2 linked regions of the Oryzias latipes genome follow. The protein of the gene in region 2 purifies or fractionates together with the protein of the main gene of each other region. This does not show direct contact. Links are inferred from orthologs where the notes say so. Each region holds a gene or a part of one and is shown on either strand. Other genes may lie near its edges.

Region 1 (7,290 bases), on a different chromosome or scaffold from region 2:
TGATTTGTGATCTGCACTGGTGTCCATGGATTAAATGAAATCTTTCCACCTTTATCCACCTTTGTCTTGGTAGGGAGAACACGTCAATATAAGGAATGTAAGGATTAGGCTTTAGTTGCTGTGAACAGTGATGGAAAAATTGGGGAGCCCTGGTGTGCCTAGAAAAGGGGCCCAATCTGCTCCTCTGGGAATACAGTCCACCCAGCTCAGATGTTGGGGACTCCCACACCGCGTGGAAAAGAGCTGCAAGGTCAGAGGCACAGGAATCCCTGGGACACCACAAATGGCCTTGCAGTAGCCACCGATCTGCCCCACCTCATCTGTGGTACGGGGGATAGGGTACAACGTGACCATCCCCTTCTCGCTATGTGTGTATGCATGTGTGTACTAAAGAGGTGCAATTAAAAATTAAATCGTGTCTGTACTATTGACATACCAATGCCACGGGAATGGCGTTTGGTGTGACCGCAGCTTCATGGGGTTTTCTGGAGCCTATCCCAGAAAAACACCTGTGCTGCCCCCCAGAGTTAGTTGGTATTATGATATTCAAATCAAAGTGCACCTTATAGATGTCAACACTAGAGGGCGCTCTGCGCACAGTGTTTCACCAACGTTGAATTCAGTTTGAGGCAGTAGTATAATCATACTGAACTGACTAAACGTCTGCTAAAACGGCTTTCTGCTTTGATGGACTCTACCTACATGAAGGACAATCTTCATGGACACACAAGTGAATGATTTTCTGTCTGTTTTCCACAGGAACTGTCGCACACAGACAAGCTTCCCCACCTTTGTGAGGACCACTGATGGTGTATTTCACTGCAGCTCTTCTGTTTCACACTCAACAACCTGGTTTCTGAGGATCACAGCAAGATTTTTGGAGCTTTTAACTTGTACAGTTTGATGTATGAACTTCACAAAAGTCCTTTTAGTTTTTTTACACTAAACGAGTCAAAGTGTAATTTATTTCAATAATTGTCCTCTTTCGTCTGAGTGGTTTCTTTGGGATTTAAATTGTCTGTTTTTCACATTTATTGATTCCAGCACTTTTTGTAATCATGTGATCCGTGTAATGTGAGGTGTTTTCTGTTCATGTGGTGCACAAAGGAAATAAATTATTTCCTCACAAACATGGAAGACATTCTTTCTCCCCGACAAGTGTCGGATCTGTGGGACATTTTGAGAAGAACTCATTGAATTTCTATTCCGTTTTTCCCTTTCGGGGTCACGGGGCTGCCGGAGCCTATCCCGGCCACTTGTGGGCGAAGGCAGGGGACACCCTGGACAGTTCGCCAGTCTGTCGCAGGGTAGAATGTCCACAATCACACACCCATTCACACTCACACTCACACCTATGGACAATTTAGATTAACCAATTAACCTATGAAGCATGTTTTTGGACAGTGGGAGGCAGCCGGAGACCCCGGAGAAAACCCACGCATACACGGGGAGAACATGCAAACTCCACACAGAAATGTCCCCCATTGATGTTCTGTTTCAGGTCCCCCAGCCGGGACCTGAACCGGGGGCCTTCTTGCTGTGAGGCAACCACTGCGCCACTGTGCAGAGAAGAGAAGAACTGCGAAGCAAAAAAAAAAAAAAGGGAAATGTAAAAAACACACATATTTTACCCAGATATAGAAATCCAAAACTCACCATGAACTGATTTACATGTCATGTTAAAGCTAAAAGCTGAACGGAAGTCATTAGTTTGTAGCTAAAAAACTGATGTGGAACAACAGATGTGTCATTTGTTCCTAGTACATACATGTAAATGTCTCGACAGATTTTACGACATACATGGAGGAGAACGCTGAAGAGTCGATGAATAAAGAACATGTTAGTTTAGGAGAGGTGGCTGTCAGTTTATGACTGGACTGTTCATCAAGAGGAATAAAACGGATGAGTCACAGAGAAGTCATGAAACAGAGGAGAGCAAGCCAGACTGAAGTCAGAGCTGAACATTTGTGAACAACACCTTGGTTTCATGCAGAGAGAGACAACCACAGACGATTTGCTCTGGGAAGGAGGTGAATGAAGGTCAGCTGGGGGAAAAACAGAGTATCGTTGGCGTTGCTCACTTCATCAACGACCACCGGGCACGGCGGGTCGTTCTGGAACAGGATCCGGGCTGCAGACAGTCTCTCCTCCAGGCTCTGGTGCTGACTGATGTCATAGTTGTTGGAGGCCCAGCCATCAACTTTGACAAACTGACTTTGAACATTTTCAATTCATAGCAATCTGTTTCTGTAATTTTTCTTTTGTAATACATGTATCTATGTACCATCCCCTGGCATTCTCGTTTTTAATGACTGTTGTTCTTGTTATACATATTTGTTCTATTTGTTTTGAACAATAAAGTTTAAGAAAAAAACTTTGACAAACTGACTGTGACGGAACGGTGCGATAGGGGGCGCCAGACCCCCGACTCGGTTACATTCCCGTCAACGAAGAAGAAGAGCAGGGAACGTCTGCCGGGTCACGGTACCACCGCACCGAACCAGTGCCGGGTCACGGTACCACCGCAGCCTCAGCAGCCCTTGTTCGCAGTAGTTAGCGCCATGGCGGCGGTGCGCAGCCTGCGGGTATCGGTGAAACCAGACAGCGGCTCAGAGCACTCGGAACCGGATTCCGAGTCGGACCGAGATGACGCTCGCGAAGCCGAACCGATGGAGGTGGAGGAGGGCGAGGTGGATGCAGAGGATATCTCCGTTAACCGCTCTCTGAAGGAGCTTCTGCCGGTAAGACCCCGAACTACTTAGGCCCGCAGAGCCGGGGACTGGAGTTTTGCTTCAACATACAGAGTCGGCATGCGATTATTACCCGAAGCTCCGTCTAGTAGTTCCAGGAATTAGTCGGTGACGGGCGCCGCTGTTAATGCTCGCTGCAGCCACGGGGATTTTCTCTTTTCTGGGCCCCTTAGCCAATAGAGAGTTGTTGTGTCGCTCACCTGTTGATCTTTACTTACCTAAGAAACGGCGGTGAGTTTGGAGAATCCGTCTAAAAACGTGCATATATTATAAGCAGAGCTTTCTGCGGGGATTCAGCTAAAATGATCGATTAGCTACTGTCAGTCCATTATAATTATAACCCAGTCTCAGGTCCGGGCCAGCCCATTTATGACCTAGTCTAAGTCTGGGTCATTCCATCATGACCCGGTCTTGAACCAGCTCAGTAGCCTTGGGTTAGTGTCCGCCCTGTGACTGGAAGGTCGTGAGTTCAAATCCAGCCCGAGTCATACCAAAGCCTCTAAAAATGGGACCCAATGCCTCCCTGCTTGACACTCAGCATAGGGGTTAGATTGGGGGAGTTAATGAATAACCCCCTATATGGTGGATTAACTTAATCCACCATAAAGTTCCGTCCGAGCGCGGCTGTGTCCGCAGCTCACCGCTCCCCCAGGGGTGGGGTCAAATGTGGAGAACAAATTTCACATACCTAGTTAGGTGTGTGAAAGTTAACGGTACTTTAAGTTGTACTTTTCTTTAGTCTGGCTCGGCCCATTATGACCCGGTCTGGCAGATGACCTAGTTCTGCCCGCTCTGTCTCTGCAGGACACCAGCCGGCGTTACGAGAACAAGGCCGGAGCGTTTATCACCGGGATTGACGTCAACTCAAAGGTACCGCAGCCTCATCACGCAGCTGCCATGTGATCAGCTCGTTGTTGGTAAAAAGCATTGAAAGCATGAAATAAAGTTCCAGTCCAGGTCCAAAAGTGCAAGGCCTCATGAAAAAGAACCTCACTGAATCACCCACCTGGGTGCCGACCTCTCCAAGCCTGGCTTGGGAACGCCTCGTCTCTCCTCAGACTGCTGCCTCTGCCACCCAGACGATCAGAAGAAAGTAGACGTGTGACCTGCCTTCACCTCCAACCACAAACCATTAACTCTGACGTGAAGGAAGCTGTTACCATGGTAGCCAACTACAAACCGGGGTATGACACAGTTGTTTGTGTTTTAGGAGGCGATTGAGAAGAAGGAGAAGCGAGCGCGACGTTTCCATTTCTGCGGCGAGCAGAGCGTCAGTCAGAAGGCCGTCGTCCTGGACAAGGAAACCATAAAGAAAGGTGGGGGTGGCTCCGGGTTTTGTCGTGTCCCGAGGTGGTGTTGGTGTATTGTTGACGTTGTCGTCTGCTTCAGCCATTCCCCGCCTGCGGCTGGAGGCGCTCCACGTCACGGGCGTGGACGACATGAGCACGCAGGACATCTTCGGCTATTTTAAGGAGTATCCTCCCGCCCACATCGAGTGGATTGACGACGCGTCATGTGAGCGCACGAACGTTTGCAGGACGACAGGAAACCCAAAGAGGGTCCTGAGGTTTAACCACCGCTTCCATCCTTCAGGTAACGTGGTCTGGTTGGACGATGACACCTCCATCCGAGCGCTCATCAACACTAGCAGAATGCCCGACCCGGAGGCCGTTACCACGGAGACCGGAGAGCAGCCAGGCAAAGAGAGCAAAGGTCAGCGAGTGGAAACATGCTCTGACTTTCCGAGGCCGCAGTGCAGCCTGGGTAATGGCTCTATCTGCACACAACAGCTCAGCGAGGTCCAGACTCAGAGGATGAGGAAGAGGAGGGTGAGGTGGGCGATGAAGAGGACGGGGCAGCCAGAAGGAGCAGTGAAGTGCAGGAGGAGCAGCAGCCGAAGGAGCGCGGAACACAGGTAGCTGTCACCAACCGCACAAGCTCATTGGTCAGTCAGAGAGTGGGGGGTGGGGGGTCTAAAGCTGCGTTCACACTGAACGGGAGTGAAGCGTCAGAAAGATTCTGGCGAGCGGTGAATATTCTGGCTGAACTTTGGTCACGAATTCGCGTCACGTCAACCAATCAGGGAGTCAGCTTTAGCCCAGGATGCTTTGATGACGTGATCAGCATCTGGAGGCCAAAACCAACATGGAGGACAATCTGACCGCTCTCCTCCTTAACTTTATGATTTTTCTTTTTTCCATAGAGACAAAAATAAAAAAAAATTCTGGGATTTTCCAAACCTTTAGCCCCTCCCACACACAGCAGGAGCGTCAGGTTTACGACAAGCTTCCAGGAGCAAATTTAGCGCGTGTCAAAACGGAGGAAACAAATTCGCCAGGAGAATTGAGTTTGCAGTAAACTCAGCAAGAGGCTGGAGTCAGGAGGAGCTGTTGACACGTTTATGTGTGTGTTTATGTGTGTGTGCACGACTCAGGTGGACGACCTGTCGCGGGCGGAGAGAGAGTCGCTGCTGAGGAACGAGCCGCGGCCCGCCATCAAACCCTTCAAGGGGAACAAGCTGCTGCTGCGCTTCGCCACACAAGGTGAGCCGCCGTGTCTGTGGGGACACGCCCACCAGGACGGCGACTCTCAAACCCTGAAGCCCACCTGAAACCACAAAACCCACTTTTGCAGCACGTTCCAAATTACACCAATGACATTTTTCTGTGATTTCTCTGTAATTGTCAACGCAAACGTCAGTCAGCAGAATGTTCAAGTCAGTAAGCGTTAGAGTATAAATAACGGTAAATGTTACTGAACACAACCTAAAGATAAAACCCTCAAAGTCACTGTTCCACATTATTACACACAACCGAGTTCCACAACATTTGATAGATTCTAAAGAACTGAAAATGGTAGTTTGCTACATGTTCGTATTTACTGAAATGTAAAGCTATTCCAATCAAAAACATCTTCATAGGTCAAGTTCCATTTGAACACAGGACCCCTTATCTTGTAGTAGCTTCACAATTGTTGCATCTATTGAACTTTTTGGAGAGTTTCTGCTTGAATTTCTTTGATGTCAGAATATCCTCCCAGAGCTGCTGTTTGGATTTGAACTGCCTCCAACCCTCAGAGATATTTTACTTGAGGAATTCTCCAAAAGTTCTGAATAGGGTTGAGGCCAGGGGAGGATGGGGGCCAAACCATCAGTTTATCTCCTTTTCTGTCCATAGCAGCCAACGATGCAGAGGTTTTCCTTGCAGCATGGGATGGTGCATTGTCATGCATGAAGAGGATTTTGTTACGGAAAGCACGGTTCTTCTTTTTGTACCATGGAAGAACGTGGTCAGTCAGAAATTCCACCTACTTCAGGGACCCTAAAAGGGCCGACCAGCTCTCTCCCTATGATTCCAGCCCAAACCATGACTCCCCACCTCCTTGCTGACGTCACAGCCTTGTTGGGACATGGTGGCCATCTACCATCCACCCACTACTCCATCCATCTGGACCATCCAGGGTTACACGGCATTCATTAGTGAACAAGACTGTTTGAAAATGAGTCTTCATTATGTCTGGGCCCACTGCAGCCGTTTCTGGTTGTCAGTGTTGTTTGGCGAATAGAAGGTTTACTTAGAACTACAAGCCTCTGGAGTGTCCTACACCTTGATGTTGGTGGGTCCCCAGAGACACCAGCAGTTTCAAATATGTGCTTGCAGCTTTGTCATGGTATTTCAGCAGCGGCTCTCTTAATCCCATGTATTTGTCTGGCAGAAATCTTCCTCATTCTGCCTTTATCTGCAGCAACCCGTCTCTGTTCTGAATCAACCACAGATTTCTTAATAGTACAATGATCACACCTAAATCATTGTGAAATATCTAAGGTTTTTATACCTTCTTCAAGGCATTTCACTATTTCACGGTTCAGCAGCAGAAAGATCCTTTTTTTCTTTCCCATATTGCTTGAAAAAGTTGGTCTGCTTAATAATTTGGAACGTCCTTCTTTAGTTTTTCCTTTAACTAAACTCACCTTTTAAATGAATCTTCGCAATGTCTGAGACTGAAGTCAGTAAAACAATATCATCCATGAAAAACAAATAATTTCATCTTTTTATCGCTTCAATATAAATTGCATAACAACTGGAAACACTGTAGTGTGGTGTTCATGTCGTGTCGTTTTGGTTCCAGATGATAAGAAGGAGCCGGGGGCAGCGCGGCGCAGCAGATACTACATGAAGTACGGAAACCCCAACTATGGAGGCATGAAGGGCATCCTCAGCAACTCCTGGTGAGACTTGCAGACAAGTTAAGATGTTTTTAAAGACCCACAACAGGGAAAATGGTGTTTTTAACATGTTCTTAGAGCATTTTCTGATGTTTGAGAAAAGAGAGAGAGTGAGTGCTGGAATATAACTCCTGTCATTTATATAAGAGTTTTTCTTCCCTGTGTATTTCGTATTGATTTTATTGTGCTTCTACTACAACTGAATTTCCCTACAGGAATTACCTGATTTAACTCTAAACACGTGTTCAATCGTTTTGTAGGTAAAGCCCGGAAACAGTTGTAAAAATGTGTGTAGCTACGCGTGAACACAGGAGT
Region 2 (7,367 bases):
GATCCCAGAGAGCAACCTGTTGATGTTGGTTGTGCAAGCAGACTGTGACTGCTCCAGGCAGTACCCGCCCATAACCCTGGAGCCCAAAGAAGTCAAATATATCCTTTGATTTGGGTATCTAATATACATTATGAAAAATCTAAATACATTTTTAAAAATCAATTGATCTCAGGAAGAATATGGATTTTTCTTACATCCTCTACGTTTTTACTATGACCCAAAAATGTGTATTATATAATGCCCAATTCTAGACGCTATTGGTTTTTTGTTCCCCTTGACCCTGTTCAACATAATGCATCAGTGAAGTGTGACAGAATGAGGTCTCAGAAGATTCGCAGACGCCCTGAGTCCTGTCATTCTTATCATCCGCAGGTAAGCTTTCCACTCGTTATATCCTCGTGCTTATCTTTTTATTTTTGTCTATATGTTATTTGTAAAGTATTAAATAGCAACTTGTTGATTTGAGTAATAACCTGCAATAAGTTCTAATCAAATTGTGTCTCTGCTTGGGTCCTGCAGGAGAATGCAGACGACTGTGGAGGGGCATCTGTCATTTCACTGTCATATGTCCTCCTCCTGCTATGTCTTTCCATTGCTGGATCAATTTCCTGATGATGGACAACTTTCTTACAACGTTTTTAAGTCTTCTTGCTCTCATTAAAAAAAAGGAAAAAAGTCTTGGACTTCTGAAGCATTATATTTTGTAAGTTTAAGAATGACAACCGAGTAAAGCAAGTTAATGGATTGCTGTTGCCATGGACACTTTCCAGCAAACTCACTCCTGCACGCCTTTGAGTCACAGATTGAAAATGGACTGAAAAGATGAAGGTTACAGCATCTGTTTTTAAAAGGAATGGTGAGTCACAAGTTGCAGCATAAGTAATTAGAGCAAGAGTGCAACACATCTCCAGTTGTCCGTCTCCATCTTCCTCTGATCTGAAGATCACAGGCAAGGCCTAGAGCGCATTTGCAAATATGCACTTCAGCCTTCAAGATCCACATTACTGCATCTGTTTTTGTTATATGTTGCATTTGAAAAAATAGTTAGCGTGAAGAGAAACTTGAGTTGGTAAATTGTATCACAGGGCATTTTTTAAAGGGGTTTGATGAATCAACCAAAGCAGACTAGATGAAGGCCCAGTCAGAAATGTCTTATATGAGTGGTATCAGAAATATTTAAGTTAAAAGTTGGAAGGGTCATACTTTTATCCCTAATTTTTACATGTTTTAAGACTAATTACATTTTACCTGCCACAATTTTAAAACGTTTTTCTGCCTTTTTTTGTCTTGTGCACTTTCACCATGTAATTAAATTGTTCTTGAAGTTAAAGCAAAAAAAAGTTTTTCTTTTGCATAACATTTTGCCTCAGGTTTTTTTTTAAGTATCTGTAATGCTCTGCTGAAAAAAATAAGTAAACAACTTTAAAAGAAAAAAGAATCACAATGGTATCTATCTAATGATAATAACATTTGTTAATGTTGATTTATTTACCAATAAATTACAATGTATTTTTATATTGATTTAACTGAACGCTTCTTTTTTTCAAACTTCTTTTTTTCTTCCATTTTTGCATGTTAAAAAGATTTACTTCTAATATATTTGTTACCTTTTTTATATTCTTTTTAACTAAAACATTTAAAATGGTCTGACTGAAATTATTATTTTTGTTGTTGTTGTCTTTGGTTGTGTTATTGACAGAGGTAAAATCTAATATATATGAAATGTTTATGATTTTTTTTAGGAGGAGCTAAAACTTGGAATGTGATTTTGTTCTTTTGTTCTGTTTTTTTCCTTTGTAAAACAAACCTGTAAATTGTTCTTATGAAAGTATTACATGGATTAAAGCCATTATTTATAAAATAAAAGATCCACAAAGTTGTTTTTATTACATTTACTTTGACTGTGTGTCATTTCTGTTTGTCTCCTTTTATTCACCTATTATTTATAAACTTATAGTTTCATATAAATGAGCAGTAAATTTATAAAGATATAGTATGATAGCAGTGGTTGTTTCAACAAATTGGATTGTGAATGACAGATGATTTCAAAAAATAAAACTTTATTTTCCAATAAAGTTTTACAAAATTACTTTTTAAGGTAAAATCCTATGTGTTATAGTTATTATTGTATCCTTTACATCAGAGTAAGTATTCAAATGTTGATCAAAAGCCAGATTTAAATTTATTTATATGACATTATTGATAAAATGTCTAATATAGTGTAAAATGTGAGTCTACAAATAATACACCAAAATAGAATGTTTTGTGTCTTGTCAATGTACTTAAAATATTCATTCATTCATTAATTCATTTTCTTAACCGTTTATTCCCTTTCGGGGTCACGGGGCTGCTGGAGCCTATCCCAGCCACTTGGGCGTCTTAAAATATTTATATTTTTAATTTGAAAAAAATATTATAGTATAATTACAGCAATACCTAATACACAGGAAACTATATAGTTGGAGATCATGTTTCACTCTTCTCTTTACACATAACTTTGCTTTTTATTTTCACTTTTAACTTTGTTGTCAAGAATTGTTACAATTTTTATTAAAAGACCATTTCTTCCAGCGATTTGTGTCAAATTTGCTGAAATTTTCAATCAACAAAACAGTAATGGCAGGTGCACAGCTGTACGTAGAAAAAAGCGTGATCTATTCTATCTATTTGAGTTCTTTTAGAAATTGCATTTCCATTGTTGTGAAAATCATTTATTAATAAATAAATAGATATTGAATTCCTCTTTTAAATGCGTAATTACAAAATACATAACAGAATAATTTATATTTTTTATAGATGTCGTATTCAGTAGTATGAATGTTTAAAGTGAAATGCAGATGATCAATGAATCCGTCATTCCCAGCAGAGCAGGCTGTAGTTAGTGAATACGACCAGCAGGGGCGCTGATGCATCTCCCGGAGTTATTGTTTGTAGCTCCGATCCTCTGCACCGCCAGGCGGACGGAGGCACGAAGCAGAGGAAAATGGCGGACGGTGTGGATCATATCGACATCTACGCCGACGTAGAAGAGGAATTTAATCAGGTATTAAAATAAAATATTCTCGAGTTTGTTCAGTGCTTTGAAGTTCTTTTTCTAATTTTTGCAATGGTCTTTTCGGCGTTATAGGAAAAATAGGTGTAATTTGATGCTCGTGCTAGCTTCTCCACTAGCAATACACACACAGGCCTCTGTCAGTCAGTGTGCTGCGTTGGTTGCAGCATAGATAGCAAACTTCTGTACAATAGATCTGCATTTTTTATTCAAACAGTAGTACACATGTGGAGGTAAATGTGATGTGGGTTATTATTTAGAATATGTACATTTTTGTCCATCAGCAAAGCGTCTAGCAGCCTTTTCAGTGGAGCGCGCGTATAGGCCGCGCAGTGTGTGCTTTCTTTTTTTTTTTTTCTCCCGACGGAGGCTGTTAACCAAACACGCATTTCATGATAAGCTAGCTGGTGTTGGTTAACTTCACACGTTTAATTGGTTTACTGTATTGGACGTGGGTTATAGTTTGGATCAAATGTAACTTGGTGTACTTTTAAAAACGTCAAAAATAAAAACAAAAGGGGAAAACACGAGTTACACGGCTTCCATTCTGGCAGCAGGTTGGGTCATCATGCATGGTGGGTGTTTTTTTTTATTCTTGCGCGCGCGCACATTAAAAACCGCGCCCCCCTTTTTAGACCGCATACTAAAATCATAACTTACTGACATTTGTTTTGCACAGAATTTGTTATGGTATTATACTGTCGGAGCTAAACATTTAAAAATAAATGTTTTTTTTCCTTGTTTCTTATTAAAATTGTTTAGCTAAACTTAATTAAGAGCCAGTGACTTAAAAATTATTAGTCATGTTTTAGTTTTTTTTAACATTTCTTTAAGTTTACTACTCTTTTTTTCCTCATAAAGCGTGACATAAAATAAAGAGAAAAAAATGCTTTTGGAATTTAATTAATTTAAATCAATTTATTATAGTAATTTGCTTTTTCTAGTAACCATTTTTACTTTTAAATTCTGGTGTAATTTCTTTTATTTCAGCTTCTTCTTGTTGACTAACTCTCTAGCACTATTTGGTCTCCATGTTTTATTATAGCTGCAGCAATTTCCAGTAAAACAGGGAGCTAAGTAAGCGTCTGGTGATATGCAGTAAACTTCTATAGATTAGGGGTCAACAGCATTTGTGACATAAAGTGCCATTTTGAAATTTAGAATGTAAAAAAGTTCAATATGTCTAGAAATGTATTTAATTCCCAACAGCAGGCATTTTGGCATTACCTCAAAGACGTTCTTTCATAACAATATTGCACAAGGAAAATAGGCCAAACTTAAAAAGTGAACTTAAATAACTTAAAACTATGTTAGTTTGAAACAAAAAGTACAGCATTTGTGGTACATCATACTGTATACGTCATGTAAATTAAATCTATCATGGTGTTTTTATTGCATGTAAAAGTAAATGTTTTACTTTGACCTTAGAATGCTAATTATAGTAATATAAATTTTCCACAATTGGACATTCTTCATTTTTTTTCACCCCCAGTAAATGGAGTGGCGATCAGCTGTACTATTCATTTTAAAACTTTTTCTCATTTCACATTTACATTTGTCAGAACATAAAAAAGTCAGGGTATAATCTGACCTTATTTGGTATTATCAACAAACTGAGCTTATAACTTCATAAATGGCAGTCGCTGTGACATCCTAAATATAATTAAAAAACCGGCTGTGCATTCATTAACCTTTAGCGCGTTTCCCGCTTATGCATGCGCTCATCGTATTGCCCCACCTGTCATCTCACCGCCAACAGCTTCAAAACACAGGGTCATTACGTCACCGTGGCAAACTTGTTTTTTTTGCCTGCAGTGCACAATCATTTAAATCACCCGTTCATAAAGGCAGAAAGTAACGTACATTGTGTGAAACTAGGCCTGCACAATATATCGCAAATTTATCGTTATCGCGACATTAAGCTGTGCAATATGCATACCACAAAAGACGGCGAAAATCGCAATAAATGGTTACCTTAAATGTGCTAAAACAATCTCGTGGCAGCTTGAAATATTGAACAAATGAAATAAATCCCTTTATGCATTTAACCAATCGGAAGGACCCATTTACGTTGTTGATCAATCAGATGAGCCCTTTTATGTTTGATGTTTGCCTCCTATGTCGACAAGGGTCATTTGGAGTATAATTTTTAAACTGTTGCAGTGAAATGGAAATTATGTTTTTGGTTGTTTTGCTGTTTGTTTATATACCGCGAATCATATCGTTATCGCAATATTAATCACCAATATCGCATATCGCGAGTTTTCCTCATATCGTGCAGCCCTATGTGAAACTATAAAAGTGGTTGGGGTCACAGTAACAGCGCTGCTTGAATGGACCATTTCCTTTTGGCCCCATAGGGGTGACAAAAGCTCATTGTGAGAAGAGATTGTCACTGTTTTTAATCCCGAAAGATGCAAAGAGGCGACAGATCCAAGTGGTTAATGTTGTCACAGCCACTGTCTTTCCCTCTGCGTCCCAGTTGTGGCAAACTGCCAATTCGATAAGCAACTTACCTTAGATTAGACAGATACATCTGTTTCAATCGTAAGAAAATAAATCGATTCGTTGATTAATCGTTACACCCCTGTACATTACTAAAAATAATATCCATCCATAATATCTTTCACTTAAAAGATGCATTTCTACATCCCCAGTTTTTATAAACGTTGAGCCACAGTTTCAGGTTCTTGTGGAATTGAACCCCACATGTTTTGCTTTAACTGTGTTAACTCATTTTTCTTTTAAAGGAATCGGAGTATCCAGTTCACGAGCAGATTGACTTGTACGATGATGTGATATCCCCATCTGCCAATAATGGAGATGCTCCAGAAGACAGGGACTACATGGATTCAATGCCTCCATCTGGCGGTTCTGACGGAGGGAAGAGTAATCCACCCAATGTGGTGTACACCTATACAGGCAAACGGATTGCTTTGTACATCGGCAACCTTACATGGGTGGGTTTCAACCATTCAAATTAAATAATTAGAAGTTTCATTGTCAATTTCGACTAAATGCTAAGAAAGTAGTATTGATAATTTGTCTCTTTTTATTATTGTTCTTTTTTTACAGTGGACAACAGATGAAGACCTGACTGAAGCCATTCGTTCAGTAGGCATTACAGATGTGCTGGAGATAAAGTTCTTTGAAAACAGGGCTAATGGCCAGTCAAAAGGGTGAGGACAGTAGTTTTTGTTTGTGTTTAACTCTTTACACCGAGGCTTTAGCTTCAATGTTAACGTTCTTTGGATTACCGTGACTCTTCAACTGTGGAAAAAGCAGCCTTACGCTGATGTGCAACACTTTACATTAATGATGTGTTGCATATCGGTGCAAATCCTCTATGAAAACCTGCTTTTCTCCAGATCAGAATCAGCCGATTCGGTTTGATCACGTAAATGGCCAAAGAGTTACGGTATGTCAAAGAGAGCGTGTGTTATTTATGTGTTGACGTCAGAGTATTTTTTATTTTATTATACATTCATATGTATAGGAATCCATGTCATGTGCAATTTATTGTATGCATTTTGTTTAAACCGCGCAGAGTTTATTCATTTTCAGAGTTGTGACGAGACTCAAGACAATTTGAACAGAAGTAATTAAAGTTGTGCCACCACAAAACCCTTAAGGTGATGCTTACTGTCCACCGTACCATTATATAGTTTGATGATTTCCGGTTTGAGCTTACACCAGGGGTGCCCACACTTTTTTGGCATGCGAGTTACTTTTGAGACAAGCTCCAAAAGATCTACCTAGATGGATGGATGGATGAATGTAAATAAAGTATTTTCTGTCTATTCAAAAGCTACACCGTAAGAGTACACAAATCTTTGTGAGGAGATAGCTCTGTTGTGTGTATTAATATTATTTTTATAGTAATACACAATTTGAACAGATAAGGCGGTTTATTATGTAAACAGATAGCAGCGACGATCGCGTTTCATGCTATGCTGACACTGTGTAATAGCAGGACATTTCCAAAGCGCAGCAGGCTTACTGACGGCTGAGCGAAGGGCGGCCCCTGCTCTGTGGGCAGGGCTATTGAAGTGCGTGCTTGTACACACTGCTGCCTGAGTTGGCGTTTCTGTCTCGCTTTCAATGGAGGACGCATGCATGCCTGCCCAGCCTCAATAAACGGTCCTGCAGGCGCAGAATGTCCTCCGCCTGGGACCTGGCACACAGCGGGGCTGGTAGCGTCTTTCTGATGGCACAAAGCGTCTGCGCTTAGTGTATTCAACCTTGCATTTGCAATGACGTATGGATCAGAGGATGCCTGCGTGGATGTTGTTTGTGTGAAAAAACTTCACTGTGA

What was found.
Region 1: the proteins of cpsf6 (region 2) and ncbp3 purify together in Homo sapiens (co-immunoprecipitation; 3 studies listed by BioGRID and IntAct, with this or other methods). This does not show direct contact. The link is inferred for Oryzias latipes from reciprocal best matches to the Homo sapiens genes CPSF6 and NCBP3.

Annotation. Positions count from the first base shown.
Region 1 is NC_019872.2:24,106,018-24,113,307, forward strand, and holds the start of ncbp3 (nuclear cap-binding protein subunit 3), read left to right. Parts: upstream 1-2,420; 5' UTR 2,421-2,561; coding exon 2,562-2,741; intron 2,742-3,554; coding exon 3,555-3,620; intron 3,621-3,960; coding exon 3,961-4,066; intron 4,067-4,139; coding exon 4,140-4,265; intron 4,266-4,343; coding exon 4,344-4,463; intron 4,464-4,540; coding exon 4,541-4,665; intron 4,666-5,184; coding exon 5,185-5,293; intron 5,294-6,878; coding exon 6,879-6,978; intron 6,979-7,290. Other genes in the region: rap1 GTPase-activating protein 2, read left to right, coding at 760-807. UniProt on the Homo sapiens protein: Associates with NCBP1/CBP80 to form an alternative cap-binding complex (CBC) which plays a key role in mRNA export. NCBP3 serves as adapter protein linking the capped RNAs (m7GpppG-capped RNA) to NCBP1/CBP80.
Region 2 is NC_019881.2:14,390,477-14,397,843, reverse strand, and holds the start of cpsf6 (cleavage and polyadenylation specificity factor subunit 6), read left to right. Parts: upstream 1-2,932; 5' UTR 2,933-2,983; coding exon 2,984-3,043; intron 3,044-5,802; coding exon 5,803-6,012; intron 6,013-6,127; coding exon 6,128-6,231; intron 6,232-7,367. UniProt on the Homo sapiens protein: Component of the cleavage factor Im (CFIm) complex that functions as an activator of the pre-mRNA 3'-end cleavage and polyadenylation processing required for the maturation of pre-mRNA into functional mRNAs.